3 linked regions of the Oryctolagus cuniculus genome follow. The main gene of each other region encodes a partner of the protein of the gene in region 3 in a complex. Links are inferred from orthologs where the notes say so. Each region holds a gene or a part of one and is shown on either strand. Other genes may lie near its edges.

Region 1 (4,765 bases), on a different chromosome or scaffold from region 3:
CCTACATGGGTATAGGGGCCCAAGCACTTGGGCCATCCTCCACTGCTTTCCCAGGTCATAGCAAAGAGCTGGATTAGAAGAGGAGCTGCCAGGACTCAAACCAGCACTCATATGGGACGCCTGCACTGCAAGCAGAGGATTAACCTAGTACACCACAGCACTGGCTCCTAGTGTCTCTAATTTCTATGTTTGAGGATTTCTAGATTAGAAAGTAAAATTAAAAACCAGAAAGTACCTGGGCTAGATAAAATTGCTGAGTAAATAAGCATTAAGGAAAATAAAAAACGCTATCAAAAACCTCGACTCTGATCATTAGGTTTCTGCTGTTCTTTGGCAAGAAGAGCTCAGGCTAGTTTGACAACAGGGAACACGTATAGGTCCTTACTAACGCAGCCAATTGTGATCTGTGAGGTAATTCATTTCAAGAGCTGACTACTATGGGACTCACAGGTGACCTTGAGAATGCAATGGCTTCGTAGCAACTGCAAAGCGCTGTCAGATGTGAACGCTCTACAAATACTTTTTCTCTCTCCAAATATTCCTCAGGTTTCATTTGTTCTAATTAAAGAGCTGAGAAAAGTGGAATGGAGAGCAATGCCATTCATTTTCCTACACTGAGTCTCTGATACCAAGTGCACAAAAATGCCTGTGTAGGACAATGGAGTACAAGGAACCTACAGACAGGCTGATACCAACAATGTGAGTTTCTGGATTTCTTACCTGTAGCCCAATATTCAAGTATAGGAATCCAATAGAGCCCCTCTCACCCAGCTCATCCTGCTTCTCCGTTCCCCCCATTTCCACAATACACAAGGACTCAGGCTGGGCTGGGAGAGCCTGCATGCTCAGAGGTTGCAAACAGTCCTGGGGCGGGAAGGGAGAGAAAATCATAAAAATCACAATAAATGATCAATTTTAGAAAGACATCCCTAAGAGGAATCTAATTCTAGGACTGAAGTACTCTAGTGGGCAGAGAAAACCCCAAGACTGATTTCTAAGGGGGGGGACATCTGGGCATAAGCTTTGAGAGTAACATGCCTTATTATGTTAAAACATACAATGGAAGAGTAAATAAGCAAAGGACACCTCCCTCAAAGCCATCAAAAGCCCTGGAGCAAGTCAATTGCTCCTATGCAAACACAGAGGGATAAAACATACCCAACTCAGCCCGAGATCCTATATCCAGAGGGGAAAGCAACTGTTTGGTTTCTTTAAGCTTCTTTGCTGATTTTTAAAAAACTACACAGGGAAACCAAAGCTTATGCCAAAGAAATATCTCATAGTCTCAGTTGAGCATCCTCAAACCACAGCGGAGGATGCCTGGGCTATGTTGCAATGGTAACCAATAGACATAGCAACATAGACTGTGGAGCCCAGTCCTGCTAATCTCAAGAGACACCATGCACAGGCCAGGTACTCGGGTTAAACCAGAAGATCCTTGAATACAAGGGCATCACTCACCGAGGGGTCCAGGGAGATAATTCGGACAGTATTGTCTACCAGTCCCACAGCCAGGAAACGAGACCGCTGTTCTCCAGGAGGCACATTGGCCAGACTCATGCACACCACATCTGCTGACATCTCTTTCCGTTCTGTGTACTCATTCAGCTGTCCTGACTAGAGAAAGGAAAGGTCACAAAGTACAGGGCGAAAGAAATACCCTAATTCACCCACAAACCCTACACCCAGGAGACAGGAAGGGAAGCAGACTGTTTAAGGTTTCTTTCAGCTTTCTTTCATTACTCTAAATAGAGACATCCAAGAATTTCCCAACCCAAGAGCCAAAGATTGAACTTCATAAGCTAACCATAAACAAAATTACTTTCTCCCACTGACAAGACAATCAAGAGACCTTTGACAAGTTCAATGTACCACAAATTTTCTAAGCAAACCAGCTGTCAAGAAACAAAAACTGCTCATTCATGAGAAAACCTTGAGCGAAAGGAATTCATATGTGATAAACACAAAGCTGTAACAAACACTAAGACTATGAAAACTGGCTATGTTGGAGATTTCCTAAGAGCAAAAAAAAAAAAAAAAAAAAAAAAAAAAGAGAGAGAGAGAGACAGAGTTATCTACCATCCTTCCATATTAGAAGAGCAAAGGAACAACTCAGACACAAATTCAGATTGCAGACACAAATCTATGCCAAACTTCAGTTGGAAAAGTAGAGTGCGAACTGCATTAAGACAACTGTCTCATTGCTAAGAAGATATTTCTAATTCTAATTAGAATTAGGTATCACCTTATTCTTTCCTCTTTTCTATAAAAATGCCTGGTTTGCTAATGGACACTTTCACTCCTCAATACTTTTTGTGAATATAATATAGATGCCTGGACTACAACTCCCACAGTGGATGATAAAAATAACATACAGGATCCATCTCAAAATAGACCAGCTCTCCTCCTGTCAGGGCAATCACCACTTGTCGCTGGTTCACCGCACACTTCACAATTGTCTTCTTTCCAGGAGTCTTCCACTCGTTGACTCTCTTGTCTGCCCGTATGTGCCGAATGCCATCTGGGTACACCTAGAGGCAAAAACACTCATCACTGACAACAACCTGCAACACCTATCAGATCTGATACCCCATCCTTACCCAAAGGAGATGTTAAGACATTGAATGTGAAGCCCATGAAGAGTAAACTACAAAAGCACCAAGGAAGGTGGTGGAAGATGCCAAGAGCCTGGCACCCACCACATAAGGGGCCCAGATATAGTTCCAGGTTCCTGGCTTTGGCCTGGACCAGCACCAACCATTGCAGCCATTTGGGGAGTAAACCAGCATATGGAAAATTTCTCTAACTCTGTTTCAAAAAAGAAAGGAAGATGAAAAATAATGTATTAGAAAAAAAACTATTGGGGCTAGTGCTGTGGTGCAGTAGGTTGATTCTCCACCTCCAGCACCAGCATCCCATATGAGCACTGGTTCTAATCCCAGCTGCTCCTCTTTCAATCCAGCTCTCTGCTATAACCTGGAAAAGCAGTTCAATTTGGCACAAGCCTTGGGCCCCTGCACCTACGTGGGAGACCTGAAAGAAGTTCCTAGTTTCAGGTCGGCCCATCTCTGACTGCTGCAGCTGTTTTGAGGAATGAATCAGCGGATGAAAGACTTTTTCTGTCTCTCCCTTTCACTATCTGTAACTCTACCACTCAAATAAATAAAATCTTAAAAAAAAAAGAGAACAGTTTCTTTAAAAAAAAAAAAAACCCTCTTTGATAAAAATGAAAGCATTTATGGTATGTGTCAGTAACATAGAAATGGCAGAAAGGATGTCATGCACCAAAATTCTAAAACTGGATTATTATTATTTTTTTTTGACAGGCAGAGTGGACAGTGAGAGAGAGAGAGAGACAAAGGTCTTCCTTTGCCGTTGGTTCACCCTCCAATGGCCGCTGCGGCCGGCGCACCGCATTGATCCGATGGCAGGAGCCAGGTGCTTCTCCTGGTCTCCCATGGGGTGCAGGGCCCAAGCACTTGGGCCATCCTCCACTGCACTCCGTGGCCACAGCAGAGAGCTGGCCTGGAAGAGGGGCAAACGGGACAGAATCCAGCGCCCCGACCGGGACTAGAACCCGGTGTGCCAGCGCTGCAGGCAGGCGGAGGATTAGCTTATTGAGCTGCGGTGCCAGCCAAAAAGCTGAATTATTTAAAATCTGAAAGAACTGGGGTCGGCGCTGTGGCGTAGTAGTTTACGCATCCACTTGCAGCACTGACATCCCATATGGGCAAGAGCTCAAGTCCCAGCTGATCTTTTTCTGATCAGGCTCTCTGCTTATGGCCTGGGAAAGCAATAAAGAAGGGCCAAGTGCTTGGGCCTCTGCACCTGCACAGGAGACCCTGAGGCAGCTCTGGGCCTCCTGGCTCTAGGCTTGGGATTGGCCCAGATCTGGGCACTGCAGCCATTTGGGGAGCGAACAGTAGATGGAAGATCTCTCTCTCTCTCCCTTTCTTTGTCTGTAACTCTGCCAATGAAGTAAATAAATTAAAAAAAAAAAAAAAAAAAAAAGATTTATTTATTTATTTGAAAGCCAGAGTTACACAGAGAGGAGAGGAAGAGAGAGGTCTTCCATCCGCCTGGTTTACTCCCGAATTGGCCGCAATGGCCAGAGCTGTGCCGATCTGAAACCAGAAGCCAGGAGATTCTGGCCCATGCAGGTGCAGGGGCACAAGGACATGGGCCATCTCCTACTGCATTCCCAGGCCACAGCAGAGAGCTGGACCTGAAGTGGAGCAGCTGGGACTTGAATTGGCGCCAATATGGGATGCCAACACTGCAGGTGGTGGCTTTTACCCACTATGCCACAGCACCAGGCCCAAATAAATCAATCTTTAAATAAAATAAAATAAAATAAAATAAGGGCCGGTGATGGGGTGCAGTGGTTTAAAGCCCTAGCTTGCAGTGCCAGCATCCCACACGGGCACTGCTTTGAGTCTCTGCTGCTCCACTTCGGATCCAGCTCTCTGCTTTGGCCTAGTAAAGCAAGAGTGCTGGCTCCTGGCTTTGGATCAGCTCAGTTCTGGACACTGAAGTCATTCGGGAAGTGAACCAGCGAATGGAAAATCTTTTTCTCTCTCTCTCTCTGGCTCTACTTCCCTCTGTAACACTTTCAAATAAATAAAATGAATCTTTTAAAACAAAATCTGAAAGAACTAATTCTTAGGCCAGTTCTCTATGTTAACAAAGGTGAGAGTGAAGAGAGACAGGAACACAGCAGCCTATAGCCAATGAAGGCAAAGAAAGGACAACACAAGCTAAGTAG
Region 2 (5,294 bases), on a different chromosome or scaffold from region 3:
TATTGTATTGATGAGGAAAAACTCCAAGATTAATAGTTGATAGAGATGAATGAAGAAGACCCACCCCAGACAACCATTGTAGCCAGTGAATATTGGCTTGATGGGCAAAGAAGGAGAAACAAAATGGTGCTTTGAGACTGACCAACAAAGTAAACAAATCCCTTTAGTCTTGAGGATGTATGTTCTCCAGATTACCGTGAAGCCCACAGTACACGCAGAGTAAAATGAATCTGAAAAAACAGTGATTAAAGAGTGAGTATCACTTTCTAGTTTGTCACTTCAGGGGTCTCGTATGTTTCAGGTGGCTGTTAAACGGGAAGATCTTGTGACTGAAATTCAGAAGCGACTGTCTGAGTCTTGATCCTTGCTTGAAAGCCGTCTGCTGCTCTTTGTAGAAGAGATTTCATCTGGGCCAGAATTCCTGCTGGATTCCAGCATAGCTGGCCAGGATAGGTGGCAAGCACTTCTACCTCCTCCATCCTTCCTGGATACAGAACTGTAGAAGGCCTGAGGACTCCTGGGCTGGTACGGGAAGCTGCTCTGCATGGGTGCAGATGGCTGGGGTGTGAAAGACATTTTCCAGCTGTGGAAGCAAATTTGGAGTGCTGCTAAATGCCACCAAGAGGTGCTGAGGGGTTGCTGGGAGCAGGGCTCGGCTCTGGGAGAGCCACCTCAGGCTGAGGATTCTGAACCATCGAGATCAGAAGGCAGATACTGGACCTTCCACAGCAGCTTTGGAACCAGAATCTGGGGGATTTGTCCTCAACGAACCCTGGATATGTCCAAGGAGTTTTGTAAAGAAAGCAAGGAGAAGCAATGACTGCTCTTCGCTTGAGGGCGGAGATGCTGTCCTAAGGGCGGGAGTGCCCAAGTTGATCTGTCGTCTCCGCCAGCCACTGTTTATGATAGTGGGGTTGAATTTCATTGGTGGCTTGTCAAGTTGGAGATCTGAGCTTTTGGAGACTATTTCCTATGCCAGAGTCATGCTCCGACTATTCCATGCCCTGCTTTTCTACAGGTGGTTAAATAATTTGTTAAATAAAGTATTAAATGTGGTAGTTTGAGTGATGTGTTATCAAGGGATTGGCTTGCCTAGGTCATTGGCTTGTTTCAATTTAGACTGAAGAATTCTGTGAGCTAGAAGTAACCTCCCTGAGGTGTAGTCTGTGCACGGAGCAACCACAGCCCCTTCTTCCACTCCTGCCCCCCACACCCCGACTCGCTGATAGTCATGTTGCTAGAAATCAACGTGTCCTGAGCCATCTGCCCGAGTGCTTCACCTGATTATTGCTGATGATTGGCCGCCTTGTGTCCAGTCATATTGAGGAAATGGTTTCCTAGAGACTGAATGACCTATGATGTTCCATAGTTGAAGGAAAAAATGAGTTAACCAGAGTGATAGTACTGTTTCGAGAAAGAGAGCCCTAGTGCAAAAAGCGCTCTCCGTCTCTGCCTGGGAAGGTTCAGCCGTTGCCAACACTTCAGTGCGGTTCAGGGCCCCATCCCTAGCAGCTGCAGGGGAATGAGACATCTAAAGCCCCTAGTAGTAGTTGGGACTTAAGGTTTAGAAACTCTTGACAATGCACGCAAAGTTGATTAGAGAAAGAGGCATTTTCAGAACCTGAATTAAACGTGTCGGCTCTTCACCGCTTGTTTTGAAAGCCGGTACAAAAAACGTTTGCAGGCGCCCTTACTTCCGTGTTGCTTCGTACTTTTCTTGCGCCTGCGCCGTCTCCTTGGAGCAGAGGCGGGGCCGACAAGTCTGTTGTGAAAGCCCTCCAGTCCTTAGCCCGTTCAGAATACGAGACTCTAAGCTTATTGGAGGGCCGACTTGCTTTACGGCTCCGGGCCTCTTTTTACAGCATTTTCCGGCCTCCCATTCACTTCGCTGTGAAGATGGCGTCGGGCAGCGGGGTATGTGTTGTGTGTGAGGAGGAGGTTTTTGGGGGCGGTGGGGTTACTTCTCAGTGCTGAATAGAAACAAGCTCCTGCAGCGGACTGGCTTCCCAACACTTCGCGGTCCTAGGGTCCGGGTTCGAGAATTCCGTAAGGCGTGGGGTCTGTGGAACCGCGGAGTTCTCTTGGGTTGGGGTCCTGAGGCCACTTTAGCCTCTTGGTCTGGGCCGGAGAGCTTTCGCTTTCCAAAAATCCTGGAGCCGCCTTGGCGGTGCGGACGTGGTTCCTTCAGACTTTCTAGGGGTCCAGACGCGATAGCGACATGTCTTGAGCGCTTTCTTTCCCCACAGACAAAAAACTTGGACTTTCGCCGAAAGTGGGACAAAGATGAATACGAAAAGCTTGCCGAGAAGAGGCTCACGGAAGAGAGGGAGAAGAAGGATGGTGGGTGCCTGCTCTGTCCAGGGCTCGGGGTGTCGCGGCGGCGATGCAGTGGGCGGGAGAGTTGGGATGGGCTGCCCTCCTACAGGGTGGCACTTTTGGCAAAGTGGCCCGCGGCTTCTCCGCGTCTGAAATAAAGAGGTTTTGTGGTGCTTTTCAGCTCTGTTCTCTGTTTGCTTGTTTTCATTGGTTGGCTCATTTGGTGCTTTCCTGAGTTACAGAGACCGGGCTTCTTAGTAGTGACAGAGAAGCTCAGTGGACTGATTGGCTGGTGGGCATTACTGCTCTCAAAGACACCTTCTTTTCCTTGAGAGCTCTTCAGAGGGAGGAGAACATTCCTGGCGCAGCTGGGACTCTTAGAGCCGGAGGCAAGCGGGGTACTGCCTGGAACGTGCGATCCTTTGAGCTGGCGCTCGCTCGTGCTGTTTCTCTGCGCCTTGTGCGACATCAGGGACGTCGTGGATGCTCCTCTCCTAGATAGCGCCCACTTTGGGAAAAGAAGTGTCTGATTTTTTCTCATCTGTTTTCACGTTGTTCTATTTACTCCCACACCACTTTTCACAGGCCAACAATGCTGTTTTTGTTATTGTTTAACATTTATTTATTTATATGAAAGGCAGATTGACAGAGGGAGACTGAACCCTTCCATTGGCTGGTTCACTCTCCAAATGGCTGTAATAGCCAGGAGCTGGGAGCTCCCGCCGGGTCTCCCACATGAGTGGCAGGAGCCCAAACTCTGGCCATCTTCCCTGCTTTCCCAGGCACATTATCAAGGAACTGAATCAAAAGCAGAGCAGCCCAGGAGTCTAGCAGGCACTCCAGTAAGGGACGATCATGTTGCTGCTGGCAGCTTAGCTCACTGCTGCAACACAGGCCCCACCCTCTTGGTTTTTCTGTATTATGTACTTGGTCTGTGAATAGATATTTCCTAAATATTGGCCCCCCTTTTAAAATTTGGCCATTTGTGTGTTATGCGTAGGGTATCTGCCTGTAAAGAATTCCTGAGTGTCCTTGCTCTTTTTTTGGTTGACTTGAAACTAATAAACTTTCTTGGGTATGCCGGATAATTAAAGGATCTGTTCCTAACTATGTATAAGTGACAAATTATTCCCTCTTCTCACCGAATTCACTTTTTTTTTTTTTACTCATATGTCCTTGCTCTTTTGAAAAGGCTGCTTTTAGTGGGAATTCATAACTTTTCCCCTCAGTTAATCAATAAATAGAAAACATGTAGCTTGTAGATTAGCTGGCTTTAAAGTGGAGAAAAGCTGTAGATAGTAGGGATTGCTTATCATTTTTCTTGTGTTCAGATTCTCCCTCACTACTGCTGACTGCTGCTGGAGGTGCCTGTTGTGGCCTTTTTTCAGGAATCATTAATTTTGGGTTTAATGCATTTATTTTCCTTTCTGACTGATAACTGTAATATTGAAGGGACTTTCTTCATTATGTTTCAGGAAAACCAGTGCAGCCAGTCAAGCGGGAACTTCTGCGACACAGAGACTACAAAGTGGACCTGGAATCTAAGCTTGGCAAGACAATTGTCATTACCAAGACCACCCCACAGTCTGAGATGGGAGGGTAAGTGGTTTTTTTATCTTTCCAAACAGCTGTAGTAGGTCCAAGAAACTATATATATTTGTTTTAGGAAATGTTGAGGATCCCTAACCCCAGGATAATAACCTTGCTGCCTATCATTTCACTCTTTGGTTTGTTTTACTTTGTCCTTCACGGTCTTAGGTTAACAATTAGTGTCTCCAGAAGTGGCCACTCTGTGGCCTTGTTCATGTTGGCAGTGTAACTGCTCCTTACATCTTCAAAGGAATTCTTTGTTAGAAGAAGAAAGGAGGAGAGAGTCTGTTGATTTCTAGGAGAGAAATAGGTGGAACTAGGAGGGGCTTTGGAGCTGTTAATGGTGCAGAAAAAGGGCTGAGGTTCCAGACTGGCACAAAGGCTGCCGTTGTTATGGATTACCTGGTTGTGCACCTTCCTCCCTGACCCAGACTGTAACCTATAGGAAGAAGGTTCCCACAAGATCTTGCCATTCTTTTGCCACCACTGTTTCTCTGTGCAGTTAGGACTTCAAGCAGGAGGTCAGCATAGGTAGCAATGAGTGAAACTTCTTTGAGTGGCTATCATTCTTCTCTGCAGTAGTTCTGTCCGTGGATACATAAATTAATAAGGGAACCCAAGGTTTAGCAGCATAAAACAAAAAGTTCACAGTGTGTGTGGGTGTGGAATCTGGAAGTGGCTTACCTAAGTGGTTCTTGCTCTAGGGTCTTTCATGGAGCTACAAGCAAGGAGTTGGCTAGGTTTGCATTCATCTCGGGCTTAAGTGGGCTGAAGGAACTGCTTCCAAGCTCCCTCACAAACCTATGGTTTGGAGGCCTAAGTTCTTTCACCCTATGAACCTCTCTGTAGGACTGCTCACAACAGAGCAACTGCCTTTTTCAAGAACAAGTGATTCACACAGAAATAGAAGCCGTGGTTTTTAAAACCTAACCTTAGAAGTGACCAGTCATCAGTTTGAACATAATCTGTTTACCACACAAACCAACCCAGGTACAAATTGGAAGGAGACTACACAGGGTAGAAACACCAGGAAGGGGACTTATGGAGGCTGTTTTGGATGATGGCCACTACATGATATTAAGAGCTAAGGCTTTATGGAAATAAAATTTTAGACTTAAAAAAAAAAATAGAGTATTTGAAAGGCAGAGGGACAGAGAAAGAGGGAGATTCTATATACTGATTTACTCTTCAACTGCTTGCAATAATTAGGGCTAGGCCAGGCCAAAACAGGGAGCCAGGTACTCCATCTGGGTCTCTATGTGGCTAGCAGGAACCCAAGTACTTGGGCTATCGTGTTCCTCTCAGGTGCATTTGTAGGAACCTGGAGTAGCTGGGACTTGAACCAGGTACTCCCGTTTGGGATGTGGCCTTCCTAAGCAATATCTTAA
Region 3 (4,765 bases):
CTCATCATCATCATGTATGTGCTTACATGTAAACTAAGGGTTACTACTATCATGAATTTGATTGCAATGCCTGTTTTTAACCTTTTTGGGGGAGAGAAGGGTCACAGATCCCCCTTCTCTAGAAAAAAGCACACATACACTTAATTTGCCAAACAGTCTTAAACAGTGCATGGACTCCTTAAAGCTCAGTATAGGGACATTAGAAACTACAGGCTGAGGACATTTATCTACTGATGGTCTCCTTTTATAATCTGAAATTATCCTCTCACATTCCTGGAATGGGTGACACAGCTCAGAAATAATTTTGCTTTAAGAGAGTGAGTGAGCGGCCAGTGCCGTGGCTCACTTGGCTAATCCTCTGCCTACGGTGCTGGCACCCCGGGTTCTAGTCCCGGTTGCTCCTCTTCAAGTCCAGCTCTCTACTGCGGTCCGGGAGGGCAATGGAGGATGGCCCAAGTGCTTGGGTCCCTGCACCTGCATGGAAGACCGGGAGGAAGCACCTGGTTCCTGGCTTTGGATCAGCGCAGCGCCTGCCGTGGCAGCCATTAGGGGAGTGAACCAACGGAAGGAAGACCTTTCTCTCTGTCTCTCTCTCACTGTCTATAACTCTCTGTCTCTCTCTAACTCTGCCTGTCAAAAAAAAAAAAAAAAAAAAAAGAGTGAGTGAGGTAGATATTTAAGTGCTGTAAATCCTCCCACTCACAGTATGCATGCCCCTTTTCTGTGTAACTTTGCTGTTCCTCCAATCTACAGGTGGAGTCTATTTATCTACTCCCTTGAACTAGGATGGCCTGTGACTTGCTGTGACCAGATGTCAAGTCCAGATTTGGCAGAAGTATTTATGAGTTCTGGAACTTAAGCCTCAGGAGGCCTTGCTAACATCCACCCCTGCCCTCTTGTAATGCTGCTCTGAGATTGCTAGGAAAGGTAGCTACTCAAGAAATGAGGTATTCCAGCTTACTGCCAACATCATCTACAAGACTTGGGAGTGAAACCCTTTTAGACTTTTTGGCCCAGTTACTCCCAGTAAAGGAACTGGTCAGCTAACTTCCAAAACTGAGAAATAATAAACTGTGTTTCAAGCTTCTTAAATTTTGGGTTGGGTTGCTACACAACCAGAGATAACAACATTGACTGTGTGTGTCTTAACAGGAAACAAAAGGGAGCATTAGGGGCCGGCACTGTGGTGTAGCGGGTAAAGCCACCGCTTGCAGTGCTGGCATTCCATATGGGCACCAGTTGGAGTCCTGGCTGCTCCACTTCCGATCCAGCTCTACGTGCTATGGCTTGGAAAAGCAGAAGATGGCCCAAGTCCTTATGCCTCTGCACTTGTGCAGGAGACCTGGAAGAAGCTCCTGGTTCCTGGCTCCTGCCACTGTGGCCATTTGGGGAGTCAAACAGTGGATGGAAGCCCTCTGTTTCTCTCTGTCTCCAACTCTTTGCCTTTCAAATTGAGAGAAAAAAAAAAAAAAAAAAAGGCAAGAGCATTGGCTGGCACTCTATGATGGTGAACAAAGTATGTTTCTCCTCTCTGATTTCACTCTAATAAAGGAAACTCATATTCTACTTATGGGAGACTGACTTCAGCCATAAGATCCCTCAAGAAAACTAGAATGAAACTCATGGTGGATGCTATCAGAAACCTGTCCCATTAGTGGCATTAACTTTAGGCCCATCCTATCACTCACGCTTCTCGATCTTCTCTGTCCCTCTTGATTCTTTTTAGCTCCCGGACTTTCCATGCCTCATATTCTTCCTCATCATTTTCGTCATCTGTGTTCAGGGCATCCAGTGCAGCCAGGGACCGCTTGTTCTCCTCCAGCTCTTTCTTGGTCTCCTCCTCTACAATCTGGACAGACAGAATAGTTACGACTACTCAGACAAACCTAATTACATTATTTGCTCTCTCTCGATGCTTGCAACCATACCCCAGTACCTTGAGTGTGTATTTGCGCCTCTCCTCAGCCATGCGCTTTGCTTCCTGCTCCAGCTCCTTCTGCTTCAATGCTTCAGCCTCCCGTTCTTGAACTGTCACTCGGTCCTTCCTGCATTACAGAGGTCCTATTAGTTGCCCAAGTCCTTAGAGTAGAGCTCTTTGTTCCCTTAGATCTAGGCCCATTACACAACACCAAACAATCTTTGACTCTGTTACTTGTGAAGAACCAAAAGTGGCAGATATCTCAGGTCTTTAGACAAAGTTCATTCATCTTTGAGGACTGCCTGGATAGCAAAGAATCTGCTGGACTGTAACTGATAGGATTTCTAGTCATTAAAAAAGGAATATGAGTTTACTCTTCCTGCTTAATTTTCTGCTTAAAATTGATAACCTTGAGCAGATATGTGCTCTTTAACGGGAAAGAGAGATGTGAAAACAAACAGGCTCTCTGCTAATGCCAAGATATTCTTTAGCAAGGGTTATAACACTGGGCAAAATGCTTCCACTTAGTGCTTAGATTTCAGAAGATCATTGGATAGAAAAGAGGCTTTAATCCTGGTGTAACTAGTGGATTTGGACCAGGTTTGTGAAATACTTACTTTCGAATGAAGACTGGCTTAAGGCGAGGCTCCATCTCGTCTTCGCTATCTGTGTACTCTTCATACTCAGACTCTGATTCAGACTCCTCCCCGGAACGTCCCTCATCTTCCACCTCCATGACTTCCATCTCTTCGTTTTTCCGCTCCTGTGCTCGCTGACGCATCATGCCACGGCGCCGCTCTATTTCCTGTAAAATCATACATCTAAGCTAGCCGGTCAAATGCTCTTAAAAGGATTTCTTATTTTTCCCTCATCAAGCTCAACAAATTCTGATATGAACCAATGCACCTTAGCATCATTCTATTATTTTCAATCCTATCCCCACCCACCAGGGAACATTATCAGAATTTTGCAAAAAAGAGCAATATTGTGCCAACAGGAGCTTAGGAAATGAGCACTGGCTTCAATTTTTTCATGCACCCAGAAAAACTTCCCATTTTCCTAAACATACCTCATCATCTATTTCCTCCTCCTCTTCTTCACTGCTGTCTTCTCTTTCCATGCGCCAAGCATCTCCTTCTACTTCTGAGTCACTTTCTCCTACTACTTCAGGTTCCACTATTTTCCGATGTCGAGCCAATCTGAAAAATGGTATTTCCAAGGGTAAAACCAGTGTTACAAAAATGAAGGAGTATCAACCACACTTCCTTCGTCAGAGAGTACTCTGACATGTTCACTTTAACACTGAAGGCTAGTGATTGGGAAACTGAGATGCAGGTCAAAAAACCTACACCAGAATGTCAGAGCAAACAGTCAAGTAGAGTGTAAACCGTTAAACATATGCTGAGGCATCCTGAGTAACACAGCCAACTTATGGGGGTGCAAAGGGATATTTTTAATAGCTCAGGGTAGTTCATAATTACAATATTAGATCATAACACATTCCTTTCAATGACATCATATCTATGAAACTGGATTTTTGGTGGTCACTGTGATAAAAAGCAAATACAGCATGAAACTAATGGGAAGGGGCAGGCATTATGGTACACTGGGTTAAGCTGCCCCTCACAACACTGAGACCCCACATCAGAGTGCTGGATTGAGTAGCAGCTATTCCATTTGTAACCCAGCTTTCTGTTAATGTGCCTGGGGAAGGCAGCTCTCTGCTAATGGCCTGAGAAAGCAGAGAAAGATGGCCCAAATACTTGGACCCCTGCCACCCATGTGGGAGACCCAGTAAAAGCTCTAGGCTTTGGCTTGGTCTAGCCATGGCTAGACCATTTGAGGAGTGAATCAACAGATGGAAGATTGATATCTCTGTCTCTGTCTCTTCCTCTCTCTGCAACTCAGCTTTTCAAATAAATAGTTAAAAAAAAAAAAATAAGCAGTACTGGCATCCCAATCCCATATGGGCGCTGGTTTGAGTTCCAGCTGCTCCATTTCTGATTCAGCTCCCTGCTAATGCACCTGGGAAAGCAGTGTAAGATGGCCCAAGTTCTTGGGCCCCTACACCCACATGGGAGACCTGGAAGAAGCTCCTGGCTTTGGATCAGCTCAGCTCTGGCTGTTGCCGTCATTTGGGGAATGAACCAGTGATTGGAAGACCTCTCAGTGTGTGTGTGTGTGTCTATCTCTCTCTGTAACTCTGTCTTTAAAAAAAAAAAAAAAAAAAAGAGACTACCTTCATTAAACCAACACATCATCTCTGTGTCATATTTTCTTAACAATTAGCACCTCTGGGCCAGAAGTAGCCTACATTAAAAAAAAAAAAAAAGATTTATTATTTATTTATTTATTTGAAGGAATTACAAAGAGAGAGAAAGAAGAGAAGGAAATCTTCCATATGCTGGTTCACTCCCCAAATGGCTGCAATGGTCAGGGCTGGGCCAGGCCAAAGCCAGGAACCAGAAGCTTCTTCTAGGCTTTCCATTTGGGCACAGAGGCCCAAGCACCTGTACCATCTTCCACTGCTTTCCCAGGTATATTAGCAGGGAGCTGGATCTGAAGTGGAGCAACCAGGACTTAAACCTGCACCCATATGGGATGCCAGTGCTGCAGACAATGGCTTAACCCATTATATCACAACACTGGCCCCTAACCTGCTGTTTTCTAAAGCTGCCACTTGTGCAATTTTGGTCATATTACTTTTCTAGCACATTTGTGTCATTTACAAAATGGGACAAGTAATATCTATCTCATAATGTTACCATGTGGATTACAAGAATTAGTAAATATTATCTACTTGGAACAGTGTAAACGACAGTAAGTACTATTCAAGTCCTGGCTATT

The links. Proteins that work in one complex are often made in the same cells at the same time.
Region 1: MFAP1 (region 3) and SF3B3 share a complex: the UniProt entries of both Homo sapiens proteins name them as parts of the spliceosome B complex. The link is inferred for Oryctolagus cuniculus from reciprocal best matches to the Homo sapiens genes MFAP1 and SF3B3.
Region 2: MFAP1 (region 3) and ZMAT2 share a complex: the UniProt entries of both Homo sapiens proteins name them as parts of the spliceosome B complex. The link is inferred for Oryctolagus cuniculus from reciprocal best matches to the Homo sapiens genes MFAP1 and ZMAT2.

Annotation. Positions count from the first base shown.
Region 1 is NC_091449.1:56,664,120-56,668,884, forward strand, and holds part of SF3B3 (splicing factor 3B subunit 3), read right to left. Parts: intron 2,532-4,765; coding exon 2,376-2,531; intron 1,618-2,375; coding exon 1,462-1,617; intron 865-1,461; coding exon 721-864; intron 1-720. UniProt on the Homo sapiens protein: Component of the 17S U2 SnRNP complex of the spliceosome, a large ribonucleoprotein complex that removes introns from transcribed pre-mRNAs.
Region 2 is NC_091437.1:28,328,586-28,333,879, forward strand, and holds the start of ZMAT2 (zinc finger matrin-type protein 2), read left to right. Parts: upstream 1-1,768; 5' UTR 1,769-1,896; coding exon 1,897-1,914; intron 1,915-2,246; coding exon 2,247-2,340; intron 2,341-3,791; coding exon 3,792-3,915; intron 3,916-5,294. Other genes in the region: HARS2 (histidine--tRNA ligase, mitochondrial), read left to right, coding at 302-361. UniProt on the Homo sapiens protein: Involved in pre-mRNA splicing as a component of the spliceosome.
Region 3 is NC_091443.1:66,694,255-66,699,019, forward strand, and holds part of MFAP1 (microfibrillar-associated protein 1), read right to left. Parts: intron 3,118-4,765; coding exon 2,988-3,117; intron 2,724-2,987; coding exon 2,536-2,723; intron 2,046-2,535; coding exon 1,937-2,045; intron 1,850-1,936; coding exon 1,689-1,849; intron 1-1,688. UniProt on the Homo sapiens protein: Involved in pre-mRNA splicing as a component of the spliceosome.